2 linked regions of the Rhinolophus ferrumequinum genome follow. The protein of the gene in region 1 interacts with the protein of each later gene in a pairwise test. Links are inferred from orthologs where the notes say so. Each region holds a gene or a part of one and is shown on either strand. Other genes may lie near its edges.

Region 1 (11,389 bases):
CTGCTAGAAGGGATCCAAGTTCTCATTTCTCCAGTGAAGAAAATAAAGCCTAGAGATACCCAGGGGCAAGGAAGCCAGCACATAGGAGCTGTGAAGCCCTTCTCGGTACCTCTTCAGGCTGCTCCTCATGACATCGGGCAAGAGGTACCTCTCCCTCAGGCAATAAGGACACCCAGACTCAGCCTGCCCTTCACTAGCTTTGTTGTTCCCCTGCCCCCATCCCAGCTCCAGGACAAACTCCTGCTATCCCCACAGTGCAGGGGAAGGTCACTTCCTCCAGGAAGCCTGCTCTGACCCCCAGGTTAGGCCTGCTGCCCCTGTTCTGTCTCCCACAGCTCCAAACCTGCCCCACTCCTAAAGATGCATCATCTTTAGATTCAGTCCCTCAGGAAGGATTGCCCTGGGACTGTCCATCATCCCTGAGTCCCCAGCACCCCCCCCCTACACACTCCCCAGTGCCAGCACACAGAGTGGGTGCTTAAAAACTGCCTGGTGGATGAAGAAATGAAGAACAGCCTCCATTGTCCTGATCTATAAAAATGAGTAAATCCCACCTTCCAAGATGAGAACAGTGAGCCACACTTACTGTGGCTGGCAGAGCTCCCACAGCAGGGTCCTTCTCCTGCTGCCCTGGGCAGGTTCTCAGGGCAGCAGCCAGGCAGCCACTACCCACCAGTTTCCTTAGACATGGCAGAGCCTCACCTCAATGACCAGAGGCCTGTGCTGGCCACGTGGGTTTCCTCACCAAGACCCCAGGGCTCCTCACCCAGCAGGTACGTCTGCCAGGCCAGCACACCTTCCCAGCACTAATATTTACTTAGGATTTACAGAGAAGGGAAAAACACAAAGTGCTTCAAAGCACTCTGCAGAGGAGAAGGGACCCCGAAACCCTGGGGACCCAGTGGGAACTCCCATAGCTGGCCCTGAGCTAACCCAGGACCTACCGAGGACTGCTCTTAATAAGCCCGTGAGGCGTGGCTGAGGCCGGGTCCGACACACTATGGGCACCTCTCTACCTCCCAGCTTTACTCGGCAGGAACTCTCGGCATCCCCCATTGAACAGCTGAGAAAATGAGGCTCACGGTGGTGAGGGGGCAGGGCTGGGATCCCCACCCAGTCTGGCTCCAGACAAGCCATGAGTGCTTAATAGAATCTGGGCCAAACGTGAGCACACAGAACATCTCATGTCCCCAAGTTCTACAGCGCTCGGCCCTGAGAGTAGGGCTGGCGTGCAGGGGAGCTGGGGGGCCAGCCTGGAGTGAGGCACTAGAGGTGCAGGTTCCCAAACCACCCTCACGACTCTGCACAAAACACACTCCCCACAGGGCAGTCGGCCGAGGAGCCCCAGAACAAACGGTAGTCACTTTGCAGCCACCAGTCTTGTGCATCCAGGATTCCTGGCTGAGCGGAAGCAGCCCCATTCCGAGGAAACATCAATATTTCATGGGCAGCTCCCTCCTGGCCTCCAATCGTGTTTTCAATTGTCACGAAACAATTCAGAATTTCCAACTCAGGGCTAATAGGCTGCCGTCAGCCGGTCAGCCCGAGCAGGCAGGAGTAATTATTTTAAAAGCTTCCGACAAGGCTGTTCGGCACGCCGCCTCCCAAACTGTGTGCGGTAGTGGCTGTGCCCCTTTGGACTCTGAGCTCCCTGTCTCCCCTCCCCTCCCCCACCCCACGCAGCAAGCAGACGTCTGGAAGGCACTGGCTGCAGAGCCTGTGAGGATGGGAGAGACAGACCAGGCTTACAGAAGGGTAAACCGAGGCCCTCTTAGGGGCACGTCTAGAAAGGCAGGGGCCACACGTCTTACTTTCGTATTTCCCACACCGACCTGTGGCCTCCTGTGCTCATGGTGGATGGATGAACTGATAAACAAAGAAAAAGATGGATGGAGTGGCTGAGTGAAGGACGTTGCAATACTCTGTTCCTCTCTTACCTCCTGAAGTCCATCCTCCACTATCCAGGTAGTGACCGTTCTAGAATCTACAGCTGACCAGACCTCTCACTGTTTCAACCCTTCATCGGTTCCTCTTTGCCTTCAGGATAATATCCCACCCTCCTAACGAGGATTATGAAGCCCTGTGGTATCTGCTACCCACTCAATTCACCAGCTTCTTCTTCCCCCATTCTCTGCCTTTCCACCTGTCCCAGTGCTATCCCACAGAGGGGTTGGTGGCGGTGGAAAGCTGTTCCAGACAAACTCAAGGCCTGTATGTCACTCAGGGCCCTTCAACACCAGGCTTCGGATTTCCTCTCCAGCACTGTGCTCCAAATACGTTTATAGGTTGGTGTGCCTGCCTCCTTGACTCAACCCAAATGAGCAGGAGCCAACCGTCTTTGTATCTCTGCCATCTCAGGCACAGAATATGTGCTCTTTAAACTTTTGCTGACCTGAAAGAGGCCAATCCAGAAAGGTCCCAAACCAGGGCTCTTTCCACTAGTCCATGCAGATGCTGATAGGTCTGCAACGAAAAAAATTACTTGAGATATCCAAATGGTTTCTATTTTTGCTCTGGCTGCCAGGAAGCTCAGAGTGCAATATAATAATGCTAAAATAAATTAATATCTTATCTGGTCATAAGGATTCTTCTCTAACTTTAGAGTCTCTAACTCGCTCCTCACAGATGACAAAGGGAACACAAATAGATGCCCCCCTCGCTCTGTGGATTCACCGCTGTATGTGAGTCAACAGACTCTGAGCCACCTCTCAGACGTTCCGGTAGCCCTCCAACCCTCCCACAGATGAGCGCAGGAACAATCCTGATGGACTTCAGACTCTCTCAACAGAGCCAATGCCTCCCCATCACATTGGAGTGGACGCCCTACTAACTCCATCAGCAGCCCGAAGAGAACCTTCACAGGGAAGGGACTTCTTTGCAAAGCAACCCATTCCCTGCCACCAGCAGCTCAGAGACCTTGTTCCAGGACAGCAACCAGTATTCCTCAGGGAGTGTGGTAAGTATTTCTTAAGATGGTGGAGCTCCCTTTTCACCCTTCTGGGGTGGAGCTTGTGACCGTAACCTGGTCATCCGCAGTCCTGAGCCACTCTTCCCCAAAAAGTGACTGGTTCAGCAGTGGGCATGTGAGCTGCACCTAACCAGTCAGCAAAACCAAATCCCTCCCCCCCCCCCAGGGAGTGTCCTATGGGTGGCAAGAGAGGCTCGGCTCTGCTCTCAAGCTTACAAAGTGGTAGGTGGATAACAGGTTTCCATCGATGATTACACAAATATTGATTTCAATACCATGGCTACAAGAGCGATGAAGGGAAAGGACACACTCCCTATTTTCACTGAATATTGAGATAAGAAACACAGCTCGAAGAATTGTTACGCCTGTCCGTGGAACTATGGCTGAGGACATTTGCCCATTATGTTTAGTACGACCCACGTGACAAATTCATCTCAGAGTTCCGTACTAGGGAGAACAACTTTTGATTAGAGGAAGCATGTCAGTTTGGAAGGAAACACAAAGCAAATGTGTCAGACAATTTTGCTGCCCTTTTTTGATTGGATACCTGGAAGCTAAAGTGATATTCAGACTGTGTTACTTCTGTTCCTGGTGGTTTCAGCTCCAACCTTCCTCTCTCTGACTGATCCCTCTTCCTTTGCCAAGATGGCGAAACCTAAAGAGAAATTGTGAAAAATTATTTTTCAAAGAAGTGAAAATAAGGTAATAAAAAACGTGTTTTGACCCACCTCAGTTCACCAAGAATTTCCAGGCCATCACGTGCTGGTCCCACCCCAACGGCTTGCCCAGCTTCCCTGGTCTGAAACTTGCTAGTAGCTAAGCAGGGGATGAGGGGTTTGTCAATTAAATCAAAGAAGGGGGCTGCTGCTGCCTTACTCAACCAACATGACCACCCTGGGGAAAGGAGGAAACAAAACTGTGAGCAAACTGTTTTAAAGAGCAAAGCAACCTGGCAGCTACCAGCATGAACATTCATCCTGGCTGCCCACCCCCACATAGGTCCGCACCCCTCACCTCCATCATCTCATAGATTTCTCTATGCCGTGGAAACTCTTATTATTCTCCCATTTCACAGATAGGGAAGCTGAGGCTGGGAGAGCTTATGTGATTTGCCCAAGGCCACAGAGCCAGTAAAAGACAGAAACAAGATTCCAACTCTGGCCATCAGGTCTCAGAGGCAGCTTTTTGGCACCACAGGCTCTGCCTGGGAACAAAAGCACGCAAAGAATCACACACACATGCCCAGTCACCACTGGGAAGACAACCAGGAAAATCACCAGTGTGCAGGGGTAAGAAGGTACAGTTTCCTAACACAAGCGCCAGAGTGAAAGCTTGATGCTTGCTGGGCCCTCCATACACAGTAAGGGTCCAGTTGCATTATGTCGGAAGAGGCCCCGGGAGCCTGGGGTGTGGAGGGGAAAGCTGCTTGAGACAAGGTCGGAAGAGTCTCAGCTTAGCAGCTCTGGGCCAGACCCGCCAACAGACCAGTTCCTCACATAAAACAGCCCTCGTAGCAGCAGGAGAAGCAGAGGCTAGAATTCCTGAAGTGCAAGCTCCAAGCTTGTGTTTCTGCCACCCCGGGACCAGGTCTGAAATCACGGGAGCCAAGGACTCAGCTCTTAACCCTTCCAGTCTTGTGTGCACCAAGCCACACACACCCACCGGAAAGGTGTTCCCACTGTTGAGAGTTGAGGGGACGCTGTGGATTACCCAAACAGCAGGGCAGGGTGCAGGGGCCAACCCTCGATCTGAGCGCCAAAGCCTCCCGAGCTTGGGTCAGGCAGGCTTCTGCTTTGGCTGTCAGGAGGGGGTCCTGGGTCATCCTGTTCCCGGGCCAGGTGGCCCTGGAGGCGCGGGTGAGCAGGGCACTGGGGCAGGCGCGGGGGCCGTGGCCTCTCACAGCAGCTGTTGGTGAGAACCAGGCAAGGAGGCGCCACCGATGACGGCACCTCATGAAACATTGATGCCCGGCCGCCGCACTGCCATCTCCCGGCACCTTGAGCCAAAGCTGCCGCCCTGGAGCACCGCAGCCTCCGGCGGGCAGGCCCCACACTCCTGAACCTGAAGGTCATCGTCCCCTGACAGTCTGACCAGCAGACCCACTGTCCCGTCCCAGGGCCCAGGCTCACACTGGGCACTTGGGGGAAGCAGGAGCCTGTTCCACCGCTTGCTTCCCCCACAAGGCTTCCCGCCGGGTTATCCGGTCATAGGCAGTCCTGGAGAACCTGGTGGCCTGGAGAGCACCCAGTCCCCCTCATTCCTGCCCAACTCCCAATGGCCACCAGCCAGGGACAGGACAACGGGGCCACATGGATTGCATCCTCTCCAGTGTGAGGGCCTGCCAGCAGGGCGACCGCTGGAGGGTGTGGAGAGGGGCTGGACGAGGGGTTACAGAAGCGTCTGTCCTTGTGGGGTCGGTCTCCCCTTTCCTCGTCAGCCCAACCCCTGAGAGGAGGATGTGGGAGGGGGGCAATCCTCCTAGCAGGGCAGGTCGGCCAGTTGCCCCTCCCCAGTCACACACACACACACACACACACACACACACACACACACACACACACACACAAACCCTGGGGTCTGTCCTCAAACCTCCTTGGCAGCCAAGCTCTGCTCCGAGGACTCTCCCTGCCAACTTGCAAGACCAGCTCCCTCCCGCAGAAAGGGGAAAAGGTCGAATCGCAAAACCCGGCTTGACCGTCACCTGGCAGGACCCTGGGAAACTCCGACCAGACCCGGACTAAACGTTGGTCGGGCTCGGCCCCTCACGTGCCAGGTGGGAAACTGAGCCCAAGGGAGAGAAAGTACGCGGGGCCTGGCCAGGACTCGCCGTGGCTTCGTCCGCATGCGGCCGGGCCCCTCCTCCATGAACGCTGTCCTGTGCTGCGTTCGCCGTCCTCGGGCCCCGGCCATCAGCCACGCCGACGACCCCTGCCTGCGCCTCGAGGGAGGCCCGGACCCCTAGCCAGCCGGACTGCGCGCCGCCCCCTCCCCGCTGGTCCAGGCAAGAGCCTCGCTTCCCCTCCCCCCTTCCCGCCTCCCAGGCCCGTGTCCCCGCCTTCCCCGCAGGCGACGGGTGGCGGCGGCAGGAGGAGCGGGCCCTGCCGAGGCAGCCCGGACCTTGCTCACTGGGATGTAGCGAACCAGCGGGGACCAAAGCTGCGCGCACAGCCGGGGACGCAGCTGGATCCGGGACCCGGCCGAAGTCGAAACCTAAGCCGGAGTCCGTGGCGAGCGAGCCCGGAGCCGACGAGCCGCACACGCAGCGCAGCCCGGGTCGGGTAAGAGTTGTTGGGCTAGGGGCGCCGGGTCTCCGCAGTGTTGGGGCGCAGGGAGGTGGTGGCCGAGTTCTGTGCTGTTTACTCCGCGAGTATGTAGGGACCAGCCAGTGGAGCGGGACTAAGCACATCGCGCGGAAGGCCAGGGTCCATCGAGGCAGCGCGAGGAGCTCGCTCCTACGCCAAGCGCACGGTCACAGCTGCCATCACCGGGCGCTACCTCACCTAACCGGTGGGCACACCCTACGCTTCAGCTCCGGGTAACCCAAAAGGGCAGCAGGCTCAGGGGCGCGGGCCCCAGCCCTGCGAAGGGCATAGCCTTGCATGTCTTTCACAGCCCCTCGTGGCGGCGCGGGCCGCAGGGTACCTCCGGGAGAAAGGGCCGGTGACAGGGCCACCCGCCGCTCCCCGTTGCGCCCGGGAAAGGGGCCCCAACACGAACGGAAGCGTTGGCCCCTCTGCACGCCGAGGGACTTCGGCCTTAGCTTCGTGTCAAGAGGGTATTTTTCCTAAACGAAACCGCTTCATTCGTTCGCTCGTTCGTTCCGGCAGCTATGCCGCAGAAAAGCCTCAGACGTGGGCCGCAGTCCCGGCGCTCTTCGCCGAGGATCCCGACGTCCCACCGCAGTGCTGGAGGCGCCCCAACCCCCGGCGGCCTGCCTCGCCGGCAAGGGTCGGGCTTTTCCTTACCCTAAGAGAAACCCCAAATGCTCTTCGCAAATCCAATAAAGACATCCCCGCGGCTTCTTCAGGGCGCAGTGGTTGACACAGGGAGCCTAAGCACGCAGCCGCTTCTCTAGACCCGGGTCCGGAATTCTGAAATTGAGCAGCCTTCTGAATCTGAGCGATTTGGGCCGCGCTAAAGCAAGGGCCCCGTGGGCGGCATCGCAGAAATGGGGATCCCAGGCTGGAATCCTTGTTCCGAGGTTTTCCGATTTAGGGATTCCCTTAATCTAAACTATCTGTGTCCACTTTTCTGAGAAACTAAGGCTCGGGTATTCTCTTGGCATTCCCAGTGGTCTCTGACAGCCACCAGGGCCAGAGGGAAGGCAACTCCAGGTTGCTGTCCACTTGGTCAAGGACACAGGTCTGGGGTGATGGCAAAAGCTACAGGCAGCAGGGGCAGCACAGGAGGGGACTTGCTGGCCCCTGCCCTTCCCTCACTGCTTTGGGACTCCTCATCTCTACTCAGAAAAGTTAAAAAGGTGGACGGGGACATGGAGACCAGGCTACCTGGATTCTAGGACACAGAGGTGGTATTTGCTGACCTTCAAGCCAGGCTCAGAGTGCCTTCCTCTCAGGAAAGCGGCTGCTGGGAAGAGGAGACCGTGGTAGCAAAAGCTGACCCTCTGCTCCCCAGGTGTGTGACAGCCCCTGCCACTTCCCTAGCCTTCTCTTCCTATCAGCTCAGCTGTTTTGGGGAACCAGATAGCGACCACTGGACTGGGGTGAGCTGTGAGCCCAGAGAGCGATGGGCCCTTACCAGCTGCTGACTGAGCGTTCTGAGTTCCGTGCTCCCATCTCCGCCCCATTTAGCCAACCTGGCTGAATACTTCTCAGCTCTTTCCCCACCAGGACAGGCTGGGGAACCCCAACTGACAGGAAGTTTCAGGCCGGGGTCCTCTGAAGCCTAAAGAATCCAGTAAGATTGTTCCCAGCCTCTACCTGAGTACCTCTTTTCCCCTCACCCAGTAATTGCTTCTATTCAAAGAAACAAAAGCTTTTTTATTGGGGAGGGGGTCTTAAAACCAGGCGGAAGGCAGTAGGTGGTCCCGTCTGCACTCCCAAAACTGGGTTTTCTAGTTTGAAGTTCCCCACGGCCTAAGAGGCTTAGGGCTGGAATGTCCCAGAGTCACGGATGGCCCCAGCGGGCGTGGGGGGTGGGGGGCAAGCCATGGCACATTCCTTCCCTTTTCCTAAAATCCCTTGATTCTGGCGCAGAGATTAGGGCGGAGTACCCTCATGAGTGGGTGGAAGGATGCCCTCCATGAGGACCCTCCAACCACCCTTCCCAAATAAAATGACGAAAGCATTCTTGGACACAGAGTCTGTTTTGAGTGAGACCAGCCTCAGGAAGGGTCCCTGTGGTGACGCTTCAACCCCCACTACAGCCCAGGCTCCTCTCTGATCAGCCCAGCCGGGACTCTAAGCCCCAAATTTCCTGAGAGTCACAAAATCATCGCTAACTCTGTGTGGCCTGGAGCCACGGAGACTGGGGCACATGGTTCCAGCCCCAGTAAGCCCCCTTCCCTCCTCTCCACATGTCCCATCGTCAAGCGGGCTGGAGGCTGAAGCAGAAGGCAGGGATTGCTGTGTCCCATGTGAGACAGGGGAACTGAGGCACAGTGCAGGTCAAACCTTGCCCAAGGTCACACAGCAAAGCCAGGGGAATACTGGACCCCTACATTTACTCCTGAAAGAGAGCTGCCTCCTGTTCTGTGTGTTGGTGTGACTTATCTGTGAGAGTGCAAGAAGCCCCTACACTACCTGGGATGGTGGCCAGTGGAGGGTGTGGCTGGGGAAGCAGAGAGAGAGTGCCCTGGTCCCTTCTCCAGCCAACACCCAGGATCAGGCCAGGGCCTCCTTTTTATCCATCACTTCCTCGCCGTGCCCCCACCCCATTCCGCACTACCTGTCCAGCAGAACAGACTCCCCAGGGAAGTTCCCAATAGTGTCAGCCCCTCTCTAGGGCTCAGGGCCCCTGGAGATATGGAGCTTCACCTACAATAGCCTGAGGGCCTTTCCATCCACACAGCAGGCATCAAGACTTCCAAATATAGGGAGTATTGTGACTGCCTGGGTCATTATCAGAGGCTTGGGGCCAGAGGGGAACACAGCAGGTGCTCAATCACTGCATCAAATGGATCAATGATGAGGGATGCAAGCCCCTCAGACTGAATAGCTAGACCTGCAGAGTCATAAAAGAGTCCCCGTCCATGGAAGTCCTGACCCTTTAGAGCCTCTGAGGAGTGAAGAGCTGTGATCCTCAGCCTCTGGGTGCCCACAGGCGTACCATTCATTCCATGTCCTGGGACCCAGTGTCCTGGGACCCAGAGTCCCTGGCCTGACACTTGGCGGGCTTAGAACACATCTCCTATGCCCTACCAGCCAGATTTTGTGCCAAACATCACCAGTGTCCCGGGATCCAGAGTCCTGGCTGTGTGTACATATGTGACTGTCCTCAGCACTCCCTCGTATGGGTGCAGTATGTGTGTCGCTGTGTACACAGCACACCTGTGTGGGTATGCAGTCTGTGGATGTGTGCGCATGCTCCCATGTCCTGTCTGTACCCAACAAGCTGGGTGGCACGCTGTCCTGTGGGCATAAGGGAGCCATATGAATGGTAGTGTGTGGACGGGCACTCCTTGGTGTTCTGCAGCACTTGGATACCTCCTTGAAAGGAGACATCTGCTGCTTCAGGAGACTCAGTCAAAAAAAATTGTGGTAAGGATGGGGCTGATAGCAAATGCTGGGCCACCATACTTCACACACACACCAAGACTATTTTCTTCCTGGGGGGGTCTCAGTTTAAGAGAAACTTCCCTTTGGGAGGAAAGGGCAGGAGTCACTGAGCTTCCTCCAGCCAAAGTCATGGCTGCAGCCTCAGCCTCAGCCTCAGCCCCTGCCCTCTGTGCTCACAGGCACCAAGTGAGAGTGGGCCAGGCCCAGAGGGTGGGCCTTGGGCAGAGGCAGAGGCAGTGAGAGACAGGTCTGGTTCCAGCCTGCGCCTGCCCCTGCCCCCCAGTCCTCACCGAGGAGCTCAGCCTGAGGCCTCCCTCTGATGGGGAGCCCGGGTGAGGGCTCAAGGCAGAGCATCCCGATGCTGACAGCCCGCATGCTCAGTCCCAAGCAGAGACCTCCAGGAAGAGACGAGGATGCACTGGGCCCTGGGGGAGGCCCTGGGCCTGGAGAGTAGGGCAGTGCTGCTCCTATCTGGTGGAACTGGTCAGCAGGTGAGGAGCAGAGGGCAGTCGGGTCCAGCAGTGGGCAGAGGAACAGTTCAGGGTCGCACCCTACCACCCCAGCCTTCACCTATTTGCTTAAGACTTTGAGGTCTCAGGGCCAGTTAACAATTGTTGAGCAAAATCCTTCAACAAACTTAACTGAAGTAAGAGGACTGGAGGGGATCATTCTTAGGGGTGGGGAGGGGAATGTCTTTGCCTGTGCCCAGGAGAGAAGCTCCACCGTAGGCTTCCTGGGCGGCAGGCCCAGGGTTGGGAAATTGCAGTCACCTGGCCTGCCAGGCCTGTGCCTGCTGCTCTGGGAAGCCCAAGTGGAGGCCCCAGGCCGCTACAAACCTGCCCTGAAGGGGGCAGAGGCCCACCCGGTGGCTGCCAAGGCACTGGCCTGGCCCATTTGGCCACTTAAAGGTACAAAACAAGAGAAGAGAGCCTTACAGAAAAGGCTGCGGGGCCTGGCGGGGCTCTTGGGGTCTCCTGCTGCACTCGCCAGAGGCCTGGAGCCAACAGAAACGTTTCATCTGATTAGAAGCCATCAGTTCTATCCCAATCCCGGAAAATTGACTGCGGTGCAGAGGCGGGGGCCTGAGAAGCAGCCTTGGGGGAGAGGGTCCAAGCTAATTAGGAGGCAGCATCCGGGGGCCCATTAGAGCACAGGCTGCTGTCACTCAGCCGGGCTCAGGTCCCGAGAGAAGTGGCCGAGGAAGGAGGGGCCAGCGGCCCCTCAACGAGGACGCAGCTAGGAGCTGGCAGTACGCCCCGGGCTCTGCCCCTGCCCTGGCGCTGGCTCGGAGGTGCCCGCTCGGTATGATCCTGCTCTGTGAGATCCTACTCCGTGAACATTCACTCATTCTGGGCTGTTCTCGCAGGGGGCTGGGGACTTCGAGGCGGCCCAGACAGGAGTTGATCCTGAGCGAAACAAGTCATTTGGGGCTTGAGGTGGGCACGAGCCGCGCGGGACTTGCAGGCCAGACGCGTTTCTTTTGTGCGGCTGAGGGAGAACTCGGTGTGTCACCGGGGAAGGAGGGAGAGGCGCGGCGAGGCCGGGTGGGGGGGAAAGGGGGCGGGGAGGCGGCGGGAAGGTGCCTGCGGAGGAGGAGGGCGCGGGCGAGGCAAGGAGGGAGGGAGGGCAGCAGAGAGGGCGCGGCGGCGCGGGCAGCTCGGGGCTGGATTCCGCCCGCGCTCCC
Region 2 (11,838 bases), on another chromosome or scaffold:
GTTAAATGCTCCTATTTGAGAGTGTTCCATAGTTGTGATCTCCTCATGTGGCCTGCAGTTCCCAGGACAAAGCCAGATGGGAAGCAGTTGGTGCTAACAACAGCCTGGACTTTGAGCCTTTCCTCCGGTCACCAAAGAGCTGTCCTAAGAATAGGTGCCTTTTTCCAAATGTCAAGAATCACAGAAGATTAAGGGAACAGTGCTTTAAGTAAATTCATGTTTCAAAAACCAAGTAGGAGGGGGGGAGGGGGAGGGGATTGGAGGGCAGTTGGTGACCACAAAATGGCCATGGGTTTGAAAATTAATCTGGGGAACGTAATTTGGTGGTTACCAGAGGGTAAGGGGGTTGGGGGGTGGGGGATGAGGGTGAGGGGGATCAAATGTATGGTGATGGAAGGGGAGCTGACTCTGGGTGGTGAACACACAGTATGATTTATGGATGATGTGATACAGAATTGCACACCTGAAATCTATGTAATTTTACTAACAAGTGTAACCCCAATAAATTAAAAAATAAAATAAAGAAAAAAAGAAAAAAAAAAACCAAGTAGGAGACATTAAAGACATGAAGAATTGCTTAGATGCCTCTTAGATGTCTTCTCAGTTGCCATGGGCACTGGAATGGAAAGAAATAAAGTAGAAAAGGTAAAAGGTTAAGAAAATTCTGTTTTTGGAGTTCTACTTCAGTACTGTTGGACACATAATTAAAGGAATGTCCCTAGTGTTCAAGTTCTTCTTGCTATACCAAAAGAACACCTAAGATCAAATTGCCAAGGATGACCCATCTCACCACTTCTTTTCAACACCATTCTGGAAGTCCTAGCTAATGCAATAAGGGAAGAAAAGGAAATTAAAGGTATACCGATAGAGAAGGAAGGAATAAAACTCTTTTTTATAGATGACATAATTGTCCATGTAGAAAATCCAAAAGAATCAATAAAAAGAAAAAACTCCTGGAACTAATAAGCAATTATAGCAAGATTTCAGGACACAAAGTTAATATACAACAGATCAAACTGCAAGTCCAAACATTGTATCTATTGATCGTATTATAGCCTAATAATAAAGTACCTTTATTATGTTTCCCCTTCTTAAGAGATTTTTGCCCTAATAGCTTTCATTAAGTAGAATGTGTTTATGGAGAAAAACAATTTTTTTAAATGAAGGAGTATTGATGAAATCAGGCAGAATGTTGAGAACTGAAGCAACTAGATGATAGGTACATAGAGGTTCATTAAACTGTTCTCTGTAAAAAAAAAAAATAAACACTTCTTTCTGTGACTTTGCATGGCTCAGAGGAGAATGCCAGCAGTCCTGAGCATGGCCTATAAGCCAGGTCCTGCCAACCACCAGCAGCTCTGCCCTGCTTCCACTTGTTTTGCTCTGTCTGTTCCATTGACATTGAAACTCCAGGCCATGCTTCCTCCTGCCCTAGAGCTCTAGGACCTGCTTTTCTACTACCCGGAAGGCTCTCCAATCCCTAGTCTGGTTAGTGAGTATTAATCCTTCAGAGCTGAAGTGTAAGCATCACTGCTTTCAGGAAATCGTCCTTGAAAACCCTGGCTAGGTCAGAGTCCTGTTTTACTTTCTTAAAGTATCTATCTTGTGGTTTTTCTTCATACTACTTAGTGCAGTTTTAATTTTACTTGCAATTAATAACAATAGCCAACATTTAATGATCACTGTGCTGGGGCTTTTCTAAGAACTTCGTGGGTGACTGCTCATTTGATTCTCTCAAGGCACAGAAAGTTAAAGAAAGTTGCTCAGAGTCACACAGTTGGTCAGTGGTACAGGTATGACCTAAACCCTGTCAGATCTGACATCTTAACCATTCTGCTCTGCTCTCTCCCTCTGAAGTAAATGATATGCGTCTCCCCAACAGACTGTGAGCCCCTCAATGGTAGATTTTCACTGTTATGGACTGAATTGTGCCCCCCCCATTAATATATTGAAGTTCTAACCTTCAATGTGACTGTATCTGGAGACAGGGCCATTAAGGAAGAAATTAAAGTTGAATGAAGTCATAAGGGTAGGGTCCTAATCCAGGAAGACTGGTGTCCTCATGTCTTAGTCTGTTTGGCCTGCCATAATAGACCACCATAGACTTGGTGTCTTATGAACAACAGAAATTTATTGCACACAGTGCTGAAGGCTGAGAAATCCAAGATCAAGGCTCTAGCAGATATGGGATCTGGTGAGGGCCTGCTTTCTGGTTCATCGATGGCTGTCTTCTCTCTGTAACATCGCATGGTATAAGGGGTAAGGGAGTTGTCTGGGGCTTCTTTTCTAAGGGCACTAATCCCATTCATGAGGGCTCCACCCTTGTGACCTAATCACCACCCAAAGGTCCTATCTCCTAATACCATCACATTGGGGGTGTGGAGGATCACACCCCCACACATCACATTGGAGGATCTCAACATATGGATGTTTTTGGAGGCAGGAACAAACATTCAGTATGTAGCACTCTATAAAAAGAACAAGAGACACCAGGAGCTGCATGCGCAGAGGAAAGGCCATGTGAGGACACGGTGAGAAGGCAGCCATCTGCAAGCCAAGGAGAGGGGCCTCAGGAGAAATCGACCCCACCAGCACTTTCATCTTGGACTTCCAGTCTCCAGAACTGTGAGAAAGTAATTTCTGTTGTTAAAATCACCCCGTCAGCAGTGTTTTGTTCTGTCAGCCACAGTGGACTAATGGTCTCTTCTTGTTTGCCATTATATACTCTGTACCAAGGAACATGTGTAGCACATAGTAAGTACTCCAAAAATAGAGAAAGTCTTCTCTTACCCTTTTCCCTTCCTCGCCCCGCCTTAAGTGTCCTTTCTGGGTTTCAGTTGCTATACTTTACACTTGGTTCTGGAAGGATATAATTTCTTTCTAGAAGGTTAAATCTTTGAATTTAAAGATTTCAAAGGGGCTAGTCTTCTCCAGGGCTCAGCACAGATGGCATATGCTGACAAAGTTTAATAAATATTTGAGTAAATGCAAGTCTCCTGACTCTTACACATGAACCCTGAATGCAGAGCAATAAGCCCTGAGTTCTAAGTTTTATGAGCCTCAAAAGTAATCATGGCCTTGGGTTTATCCAGAGATCAAAGCTTGGAGAAAGTCCTTTATGCTCTGAAAAGTTATAGGATCATTTTTATGTCTGTTATGAACACTTGTGCAGTTGAGGTGAGCTCCTGAACCTTAGTCATCTGCTTGGCTCCAGCCAGACTTCTTGCTGTTCCTCAAACATGTTCCTCACTTCTGTCTCAGGGCCTTTGCACTTGCTATACCTCTTTTGGGAGCACACTTGTCCCACGGCAAATATCTAGCCTAATTTTCAGTGCCTACATGAGAGTCAAGGCAGGTGATGGTGACTCTGAGGAAGCAACTCAGTTTTAGGGCTTTGGGGAAGAGAAGAGTAACGCATTCTGGGTTCCCATCCGGGTTCTACTGTTCTATTAATTTATTTAACCCTCTCAACAGTCCTGACAGGGATTTACTATCATTATCCCCATTTTACAGATGAGAAAATTGAGGCCAAGAGAGATTAAGTAACTTGCCAAAGGTCTCACAACTAGTAAATAGCAGGGCCAGGATATGAACCCAGGCAATTTAGATCCAGTGTCCAGCTTCTTAGCCACAAGGATCTCTGCTACTTGATGTATATTAAAACTTAGTTAACATAGGGTCTGGCACGGGGTAGTTGCTCAGTAAGTTATAGTTATTTCTCTAGTCTTCTCAGACATTTGATTCTCCTAATCCAACCCCCAGAATGAAGCCAACAACCCTTCCTACTCCACCTTGCCAGAGCTCAGGGTCCCTTACTCCATCTTCTCATGCCTGCACATGCTGGGTAGCTGGATTTCAGGGCTCTAGAGTAAGGCTCTCTGGGTTCCCATCCAGTTTCCACCATTTACTAGCTCTGTACACAAAGGAATATTCCATCCCTCCCTGGGTCTCAGTTTCCTCATGTGTAAAATGGGGACAATAACAATACCTATGTCCTAGAATTATTACAGAGATTCAGTGAGATGATGCATAGATGACGCAGAATGCTTTCCACCTTGCCTCGCCCATAAAAAGTGTTCCATAAATGGCAGCAATTATGACTAGGGCTTCTCAATGAGAAGCCTCCAATGGTCCTGAGGCTGTGAAATACACTCGCAACCACCTTTAAGGCCAACGTTAGGACCAGATGAATTCATTGTTTACAGACAAGGCTGGCTGGGTGAGAGAACCCCTCACCGGATCCAACCCAGGATCTACTAGACAAGTACTTCCTAGCGGCAGTCTAGTTCAAGGGATAATCTCTTGGGTCTGATAGACCTGGGTCTGAATTCCAGCTTTGATTTCTCCTAGGGTCTCACTTTCTTCATCTGTTAAATAGGAAAGGAGCAGTGTGGGGAGTAATTAAGAATGTGGGTTTGAATTAGAAGGTTATATATTATTCTATTCCTTGCTCTGCCAAGGACTAGCTATGTGACTGAGTGTCTTCAGCTCCATGCACCTTGGTTGTCTGTTCTAATGGGTTTTGTCATTATTCCTCTTCCTAGGGCAGCTGAGGATTCCCTAGGACCATGTGTGCAGACTCTGTGGACACTGTAGCTGTTAGGATGGGAGACAGTGTACCCAATGGTTAGGAGCTTAGATTCTGGAGTCAGACTGCAACAGGCCTAGTTCAAATCTGCTCTTGCAATTATTTCTGGTGAAATCTTAGGGAAATCAATTATCTTCTTTCAGTTTCAATTTGCTTATCTGTGAAGTGAGAATAAAAACAGTAAGTATCGCATAGAGCTTGTTATGAGAATTCAATCAAATGATGCATGCAAAGCACTTCAAACTGGCCTGGTTCGGTAAAAGTGGCAAAGATACCCATCATGAAGGTGATTTTTAAAATATCCTTTTCTAGAATGCAAATGCATTTGCCAAACTGAGGAACTGCAAATATGCGCTAAGTGCTGGAGCCTTCAGGATCAGATTTAAGTCCAAAACAAAAATCAAAAACCCCCCAAAAACCCTCATTTGTAGATGAAGTAATCCAGGGCCAACGTGACCACATCAGACACCATCCCACATCTACAAGATCAACCCTACTTAACTGTAGGCTACCTTGAATGCTGGACTCACCAGAACAAGGTCGGAGTCCCAGCAACGCCCATATTCACCGCGGGACCTGAGACGAGTGACTTTGCCGCGGACCTCTGAGGATAACCCAGCATAGTAATCAGCTCCCTCACAGGGTTACTTAGCAAAAGTCAATAAGATGACGCACAAAGCGTGCGTGGTACACGGAAAGGGCTCAGTAAGCGGAAGCTGCTGTTGCTACAGCTACAGCGCCTGTTTTTCCCCTACTTTTTAAGGGGTTTGCTCCCGCGGACCGGACACTCGCCTTAGGCAGTCTCCCTCCCGTTTCAGCTCCATCTATTCGTCCCAGGCTCCTCTGCGTCACGACCTCTCCAAGAGGGTTCTCCTGGGCCAACCCCCACCTTCGCCTCCCAACCTATAGGTCCTCAGCGAGTCGCAAGGAAGGAAGAGACAGACAACACTCCGCAGAGCCCGGGAGCTGAACAGAAGCGCAGGGACAGAACCCTAACCGCTTGAAACCGTTGGGTTGGGCTCCCGCCTCCCGGCCCTCTGATCAATTAAAAGCGAAGCTGCAAGCCTCGGGACCAATCAGAAGTGGAAGCGGTTACGCTATGCCCGCCTTCTTAAAGCGCCATTGCTCCTCATTGGATACGTCCAAGCGCGAACACAAGGCTAAGCTGCTGAGAAGAGTGGGGCCAGCCAATCAGCGGTGCAACCGCAGTCGGGCTGGTGGGAGGAGAGGCAGGTGGCCCTCGTAGATTCGCGCGGTGCGAGCTCGCGGTGTGTCAGCCCAAATTCCTGCCTAGGCAAAAAGCCTGCTGGCCGGGATCTAAGCCCAGGCCAACTAATGGCGGGGCAGCGCAATAGGCCATTTTCTATACAGCGTAGTGGGGGTCTGGTACACGAAGTACTCAGTTGATCCTGGCTCAACTGACAGTCGAGGTGTCAATGAGCATTTGAAGCGCGAATATCTGGACCATTCCTGGGTCAAGGCACTGCCCCCTCTTGCGTCTTTCCTGTCCCCGAATACTTCCGGGTAAGGCAGGGTGCGTTCTGCAACCAATCAGTGGTGGGGCAGGGCAGGAGGTGAGAAAGGCGAGCTGCCCTGAGGCACATGAAGCCTGGTGGCTCTTGAGGGCCTTTCAGCTAATCACGCACATCTCCACAGATATGTAAGGGGTTGAGAGAAAGGTGAAAGGGTTTGCAACGAGAGCTACTCAAAGGCAAGAAATTGGTGGTATCCCTGAGCTCTTGTCGGGGGAGCCTCCAAGGCTATTCAGGTGGAGGAGGTTCGAGTCTCAGTCTCATCATAGAAAGGGTGAGAGAAGGCAAACTGCGCAGCCAATCAGCATTGGAGTTAGGTTGGAGTACGAGGTGTCAGTTAGAGGCCTCCAGCATCAGTCCACAGACCAATCAGACTCAAGGCCCTGCCCCGCCACAGCACAAGGGCAGGCGCGAGTTCCTCAACCAATCATCGGTGGGCGCGAGGCAGTGGAGCTGTCCTAGGTGCCTCTCAGTCAGTTGAGCACGCTCACCAGGCAGGAGCCAGGAAAGAGTGTGCCGCCAGCGCCGCAGCCAATCGGTATCTGCCTTGGGATCCAGGCGCGAAAAGCGAGCTGTGCACGCGCCTGGGCATCGCGTTCCTGGCCTAGCGCCGCTCCCCATTTTCTAACCGCCACTTGGGCTTGTGCCGCCCTTAGTGTATGTGAGGCTGAGTGGGGAGAGGAACACGGTCTGAGTTGGTGAGTGCCGTGGTTTTTCTTACTCTTCTTCAGGCTTGGGCCTGGCCCAAGCAAAGCTGGGGTATGGGGGGCTTGACTGGTGGCTGTGAGGGTTGGGAAATGAGGGCTGAGAGCTTTAGACCCTTGGGAACTCTCTCTGCCCTGGAAAGGCTGGAAATGGGGCCTCCTGAACAACTTTGGGCCCAGGCTGGGCAGAGGCCTGGCCAGCATGTCCTATGAGTTGGTACATGGTCCCTAAGCCAGCCTGAGTTGGAAGTGTGTTGTAGGGCAGTTGGAAGCCCTTGGAGCCCTGCGTGGGGTCATTGGCAATGAGGTATGGCCTCTGAACTGTGAGAGGTTGTCTGGGATCTCTGGACTAAGCCTAGATCTGGCGACTGGAAGGAGAGACTTGTGATTCTTCAGAGGTTATTGGGAATTACTGGCCAAGAGATTAAACTAGTGGGCATTTGAGAGGTTTCTGGCATCTTTGAATGCAACCTGGGCTGAGAGTGAGCACTGATGAGGTCAAAAGCCCAAAGAGAAGTTGTCAAGGGTCATTGCATCCAGGCTGTGCTGGGAACATGAGGCTGCAAGGCTTTTAGGGGTCTTTGGACTCTGAGTTGAGGTGCTCTTGGCAGATTTTCCAGTATTGGGTCCAGGTTGTACCATGTGGCCCGAAGGTTAGTCTCGTGGTCTTCTGAAGATTCTAGGGCGTGGGGAGTCTCCAAACCCCAGCCAAGTTGTTTGCCTTCCATGAAGTATTATTGCCTTGTGGTGGCTCTAGATAGAACCAGGATTGGGTCATGTCTGGGGCCTTTCAGTTCCTGTCCTCACCTCTTTCCCACACCCTTTCTGGTCACTCTCAGAAGACATCAGGCTATAAGCAGGGGGCAGGTGCATGAGTAAGATGGATATCATACCTGAGCACAGGAAGAGATGTGTGAGATATCCTACTGTTAAGGAAACCACCCATGTTGTCTTTACCAAAGATCTTTTTATACTTACGGGGCAGGGTGTTGAAATCTATATTCACTCAGCCTTTCCCGCTCTACGTGTTATTAAAGCTTTCAGAGTGCTTTCATGTATACTTGGAGTTCTTAAACCAAGAGTGGGGAATGCAAAAGGGTGGTCTACAAGTGGATTTCAAAGGTCTGTGAACTCTTGGAAATCATAAAATTTCATGCATGTTGGATTTGGGGAGTACGGGGCAAAAGCAGTCAAAGGACAATCCAGGAGTATTTGACCTGTTCAATAACGGGCTTCAGAGCAGTCTGTGAATCCCCTGTCATTCATATGCAAAATGTCATAAAAGTCTACAATTTTCCGATGTAAGGAGTTAATTCCATGGCTTACATTTTCAAAGGAATGGTGACCCCCTAAGATGTTAAGAAGTATTGAAATAAAGCAGGCTCCCATATTATTTATGGGGCCTGGGCATGACTAGAAATGGAGATTCACCTTTTTCTTCCCACCCCTGGTGTTGATGCACACTTCAAAGTATCTCACATATTAGCTGGCATGTCCAACCTGTTTCCATGCCCCTAACACACAGTCAGGGCCTAGGCTGTTACATGAGTCCCACAGCCCACTGTCATGAATATAGATCTGGGGTTGAGGACCATGTAGATCCTGGAAGTGGGCCATTTGGGCTGGGAGGTCCAGAGTTCTGAGTTCCCAGAGCATGGTCTGCAATTGGGCGGCTCAGGTTCCAGGTGGGTACTTCCTAGATGACCTTGCACTCCTCAGCCCACGGGAAGGGACACAGCCAGAGGATGTCAGAGTCAGGCCCTCTTCCTGGGTTTAAGGCAGTACTGGTATTCAGTACTTGTCTTGAAAACAGGCCCTGTGAGGAAGTTGAGGAAGAGTTAGCCCCATATTAGGGCTGAAGAAAAAGGCCCTTCACTGTGAGGATGTAGTGAAACCTAAGTTTTTCGACTTCTAGTCGTTATTTTTCCACTTACTCCACAAAAGGTGTGTTATGATGGGGTCTCTATGACCAGATTCAGCTCATCTCGCTGTATCTGGTTTTGGGTTATGCAGAACATAGATTTAAATGAAGAAGGAAATGAATTCCCTCTGTGATGTCTCTTCTCTGGTATGTTTTGGATGTATTATACTTAACCAGAAAGAGTGAACATTTGAAAGTTTATGTATGATTTGGATAACGGGTCTTATTCTTTAGAAAATGCTATGTGTGTGTGAGTGTGTGTGGGGGGTTAACCACCTTAATTTGCATAAAGAGAGGTGTTCCTGGGAAGAGTGAAAAGTTCATAGAATTTTTCTAAATTGAGTCTTGCTTAACTTGACTTTGGAGATACTCAATAGTTAAAATAAGTGAGATAAAGGGAGAATATTTTTCATAAAACAAATAACCATTCCTCTAATTGGCCTATTCTGATGGTTTAATTTTAATTATACTTGAAGAGAATCCATACTTGTATTGCTGTGTTGATATTTTCATATCAAGCTGGGTTGTGTCTGTAGGGGCTCTTGGTCAAGCTTATCAGTAAGAATAAAAATTACCAGATTTCAAATTTATTTAGTATTATAAAGGACTGAGAGGCAAAAGTCATACCTCCTTTTCCCACATATTTCTCTTCCAATGATGTCCTATCTAATTTCTCCTATGCACTCTACCCTCTCCCAAGATGCTGGCTTGCATCCTCATAACCTGCAGTTTTCTGGCTCTGCCTGTACTGAGTCAGCCTGGGAAGTGGAAGGTGGACAAGGTTTCTGAGACTGGCGAGGGCAGACCTTTCAAGAATAGAAACAGCGATGCCCCTGTCCTTCCAAATCAAAGAGCTATTTGCATCGGCTGTCAGTGCTCACTCAGAGCAAGCAGATGACTTGGGCTGTGCAGTCAAGAACGCAGGGAGAGAGAAGAGCCTAGAGAGTCACCAACCTAAAGGCTGAGGTGTAGAGGGCCCTAGAGATACCTCTAAGGAGGCGACCTCTAAAGGGATATCCTTAGGTGAGGTAAACACCAAGTGGGAGGCAAGATGGGGTTTCCCATTCTTGGGGGCTTTTGTTCACTGAATGGGGAGTCCCCTTGCTCCTTTCGATCCCTTTTAGATTTCCTAAAAGCCCATTGACACTTCCTGTCAACTACATTTGGCTTACAGAAGATGCTGCCCTTTGAGCACAGTCTGCAACTCTCTTGGTCATCAATGAGCAAATCACACCTGTGGGGGCGCTGAGTCACAGAAACATGATATAGGGCTGGGCGGTAAGGGGGACTACACTCCACTAGATGGTGATGTCATATTCCAGACCCCTGTACCTTTCCCTCTACACTTGGGGATGTCTCCCTCGTGGCTTTCCCCACATATTCCATATCTTCAGGGATTGTGTATTACTGTGTTGGAGGATGTTTCCCTCTGTATACATATCAGGGATTGGTGCTTTTATGTGTCCAGGCCAAGTGACTTTTATATGCGTGTCTAATGCGTCCCTGGGTGTGGTGGTGTGAGGAGTTAGAACGCTAAGAAATGGAAAACATTTCAGAGTAGCAAATGAATACAACTTGCTCATTTGCATTTTCCCTTTCACTCTGACTCATCTTCCCCTCTCCCCACCCTATTATTGCCCCTCCACCAGCCCCACCCATTGGCACACCCTGTCTGACCTAGGAAGGGGTAACATCTGCCTGCACCCAAGCTAGAATGAAAGGTAAAGGGAAGGCATGCTGGGTCTGAAGAGAGAGAGACTAGAAGGCTGAACATTTGGGGGTTCTGGAGCCAAAGAAAAAAACATGGGTTTAGAGACATAATATTTGAGTCTAGGAGGGGACCACGATCTAAACAAGAAGCCTGGGGGGAACCAGACTATGTCCTGTCGCCAGAGCAGCCTACCAATGCCTGACTTGTTTATCTTCGTTACTTATTGGGCATATATGATATGCCAGGCACATATCATAAGTGATTTATCACTTGTTGAATTAATGAAAATTTGCCACAGGATGAGGGATAATGGAATAAGAAACAGAAAAAGAAATTTGAGTTTGTCAGACCTCATCCTTTCCCCCGGTTTAAGTGCTAAAGTGTGAAAAGAGGGGAAATTTCCGAGGACCTTGACCCTTTGGGCAGGAAGTGAAAGAAACCCCGGAGTCCTGATTTCAGAGAAATGTCATTTGTCATCAACCCAAGAAAAGGAGTTTTTCTTTTCGAAGACCACCGCAGGCCCTTCCTGGGGTTGCCCCCTCCAGAGCTTGATGGGAGGATCTGAGTCACTCACACACCCAGTCCCCAGTGGTGACCCAGATGCCAGTGGTCATTCCCACATAGCAGTCAAGGCTTCCTAGTACCAAGTTAGACATGCTTTTGGCCCTCTTTTACTCTGTCCTTGGAATTCAGATGTTTCAGTCATTTTCATTTCTGATAGTAGAAACAGCTTCCAGCTGCTAGAGCTCTACTGACACCTCTAAGAAACAGAACTAATAATATTTGAATGATACTATGTACTGAAAAACCACTGTCATATTTATCATTTCATTTTCAACTATACCTCCAAATGAGATAAGCAGAGGTTATCCCTATTTCATGGATGAGGTAACTGAGGCACAGAAAGATGACTTGCTCAAAGTGACTCAACTAGTAAATGGCACAGATGAGACTCAAATGCAGGTCTGATTAGTTCAAAGTTCTTGTTGCCTCAGGTGCACTTCTTTGGCTCTAGAAGTTCACAAATGAAATAAGGAGACAGGAGGATAGGAGGCAGGATGTGTGGTTTCTGGAAGTAGAGGGGGTAGTCGCTCCTAGAAGGATGAAGCACAGCCAGCGGTATAAAACCACACCCCGTTGGGGGACACTGGCAGACTGATACTTGGGACACCCAATGGAAGACTGTGAGGTCAGGGGCGGGGCTAGCTGGGGGTTGGGGGCAGGAGCCCAAACAGCAGTTCAGAACATGCGGTGTCCAGGAGGAAGCTACAACTGGTGAGTGGTTTCTTCTTCCCAGCTGAGTCTTCCCTCTCATTATACCTCTCTTTCTGTCTAGTTCCTGCCAACTGTAGCCCTCTTCCTGCAGTGTCCAAGTAGTAATC

What was found.
Region 2: the proteins of PITX1 (region 1) and ZBTB32 interact in a two-hybrid assay, tested with the Homo sapiens proteins (2 studies listed by BioGRID). The link is inferred for Rhinolophus ferrumequinum from reciprocal best matches to the Homo sapiens genes PITX1 and ZBTB32.

Annotation. Positions count from the first base shown.
Region 1 is NC_046307.1:10,739,694-10,751,082, reverse strand, and holds the start of PITX1 (pituitary homeobox 1), read left to right. Parts: upstream 1-5,860; 5' UTR 5,861-6,246; intron 6,247-11,389. UniProt on the Homo sapiens protein: Sequence-specific transcription factor that binds gene promoters and activates their transcription. May play a role in the development of anterior structures, and in particular, the brain and facies and in specifying the identity or structure of hindlimb.
Region 2 is NC_046298.1:36,075,654-36,087,491, forward strand, and holds the start of ZBTB32 (zinc finger and BTB domain-containing protein 32), read left to right. Parts: upstream 1-6,680; 5' UTR 6,681-6,818; intron 6,819-11,670; exon of another isoform or gene 11,671-11,731; intron 11,732-11,838. UniProt on the Homo sapiens protein: DNA-binding protein that binds to the to a 5'-TGTACAGTGT-3' core sequence. May function as a transcriptional transactivator and transcriptional repressor. Probably exerts its repressor effect by preventing GATA3 from binding to DNA.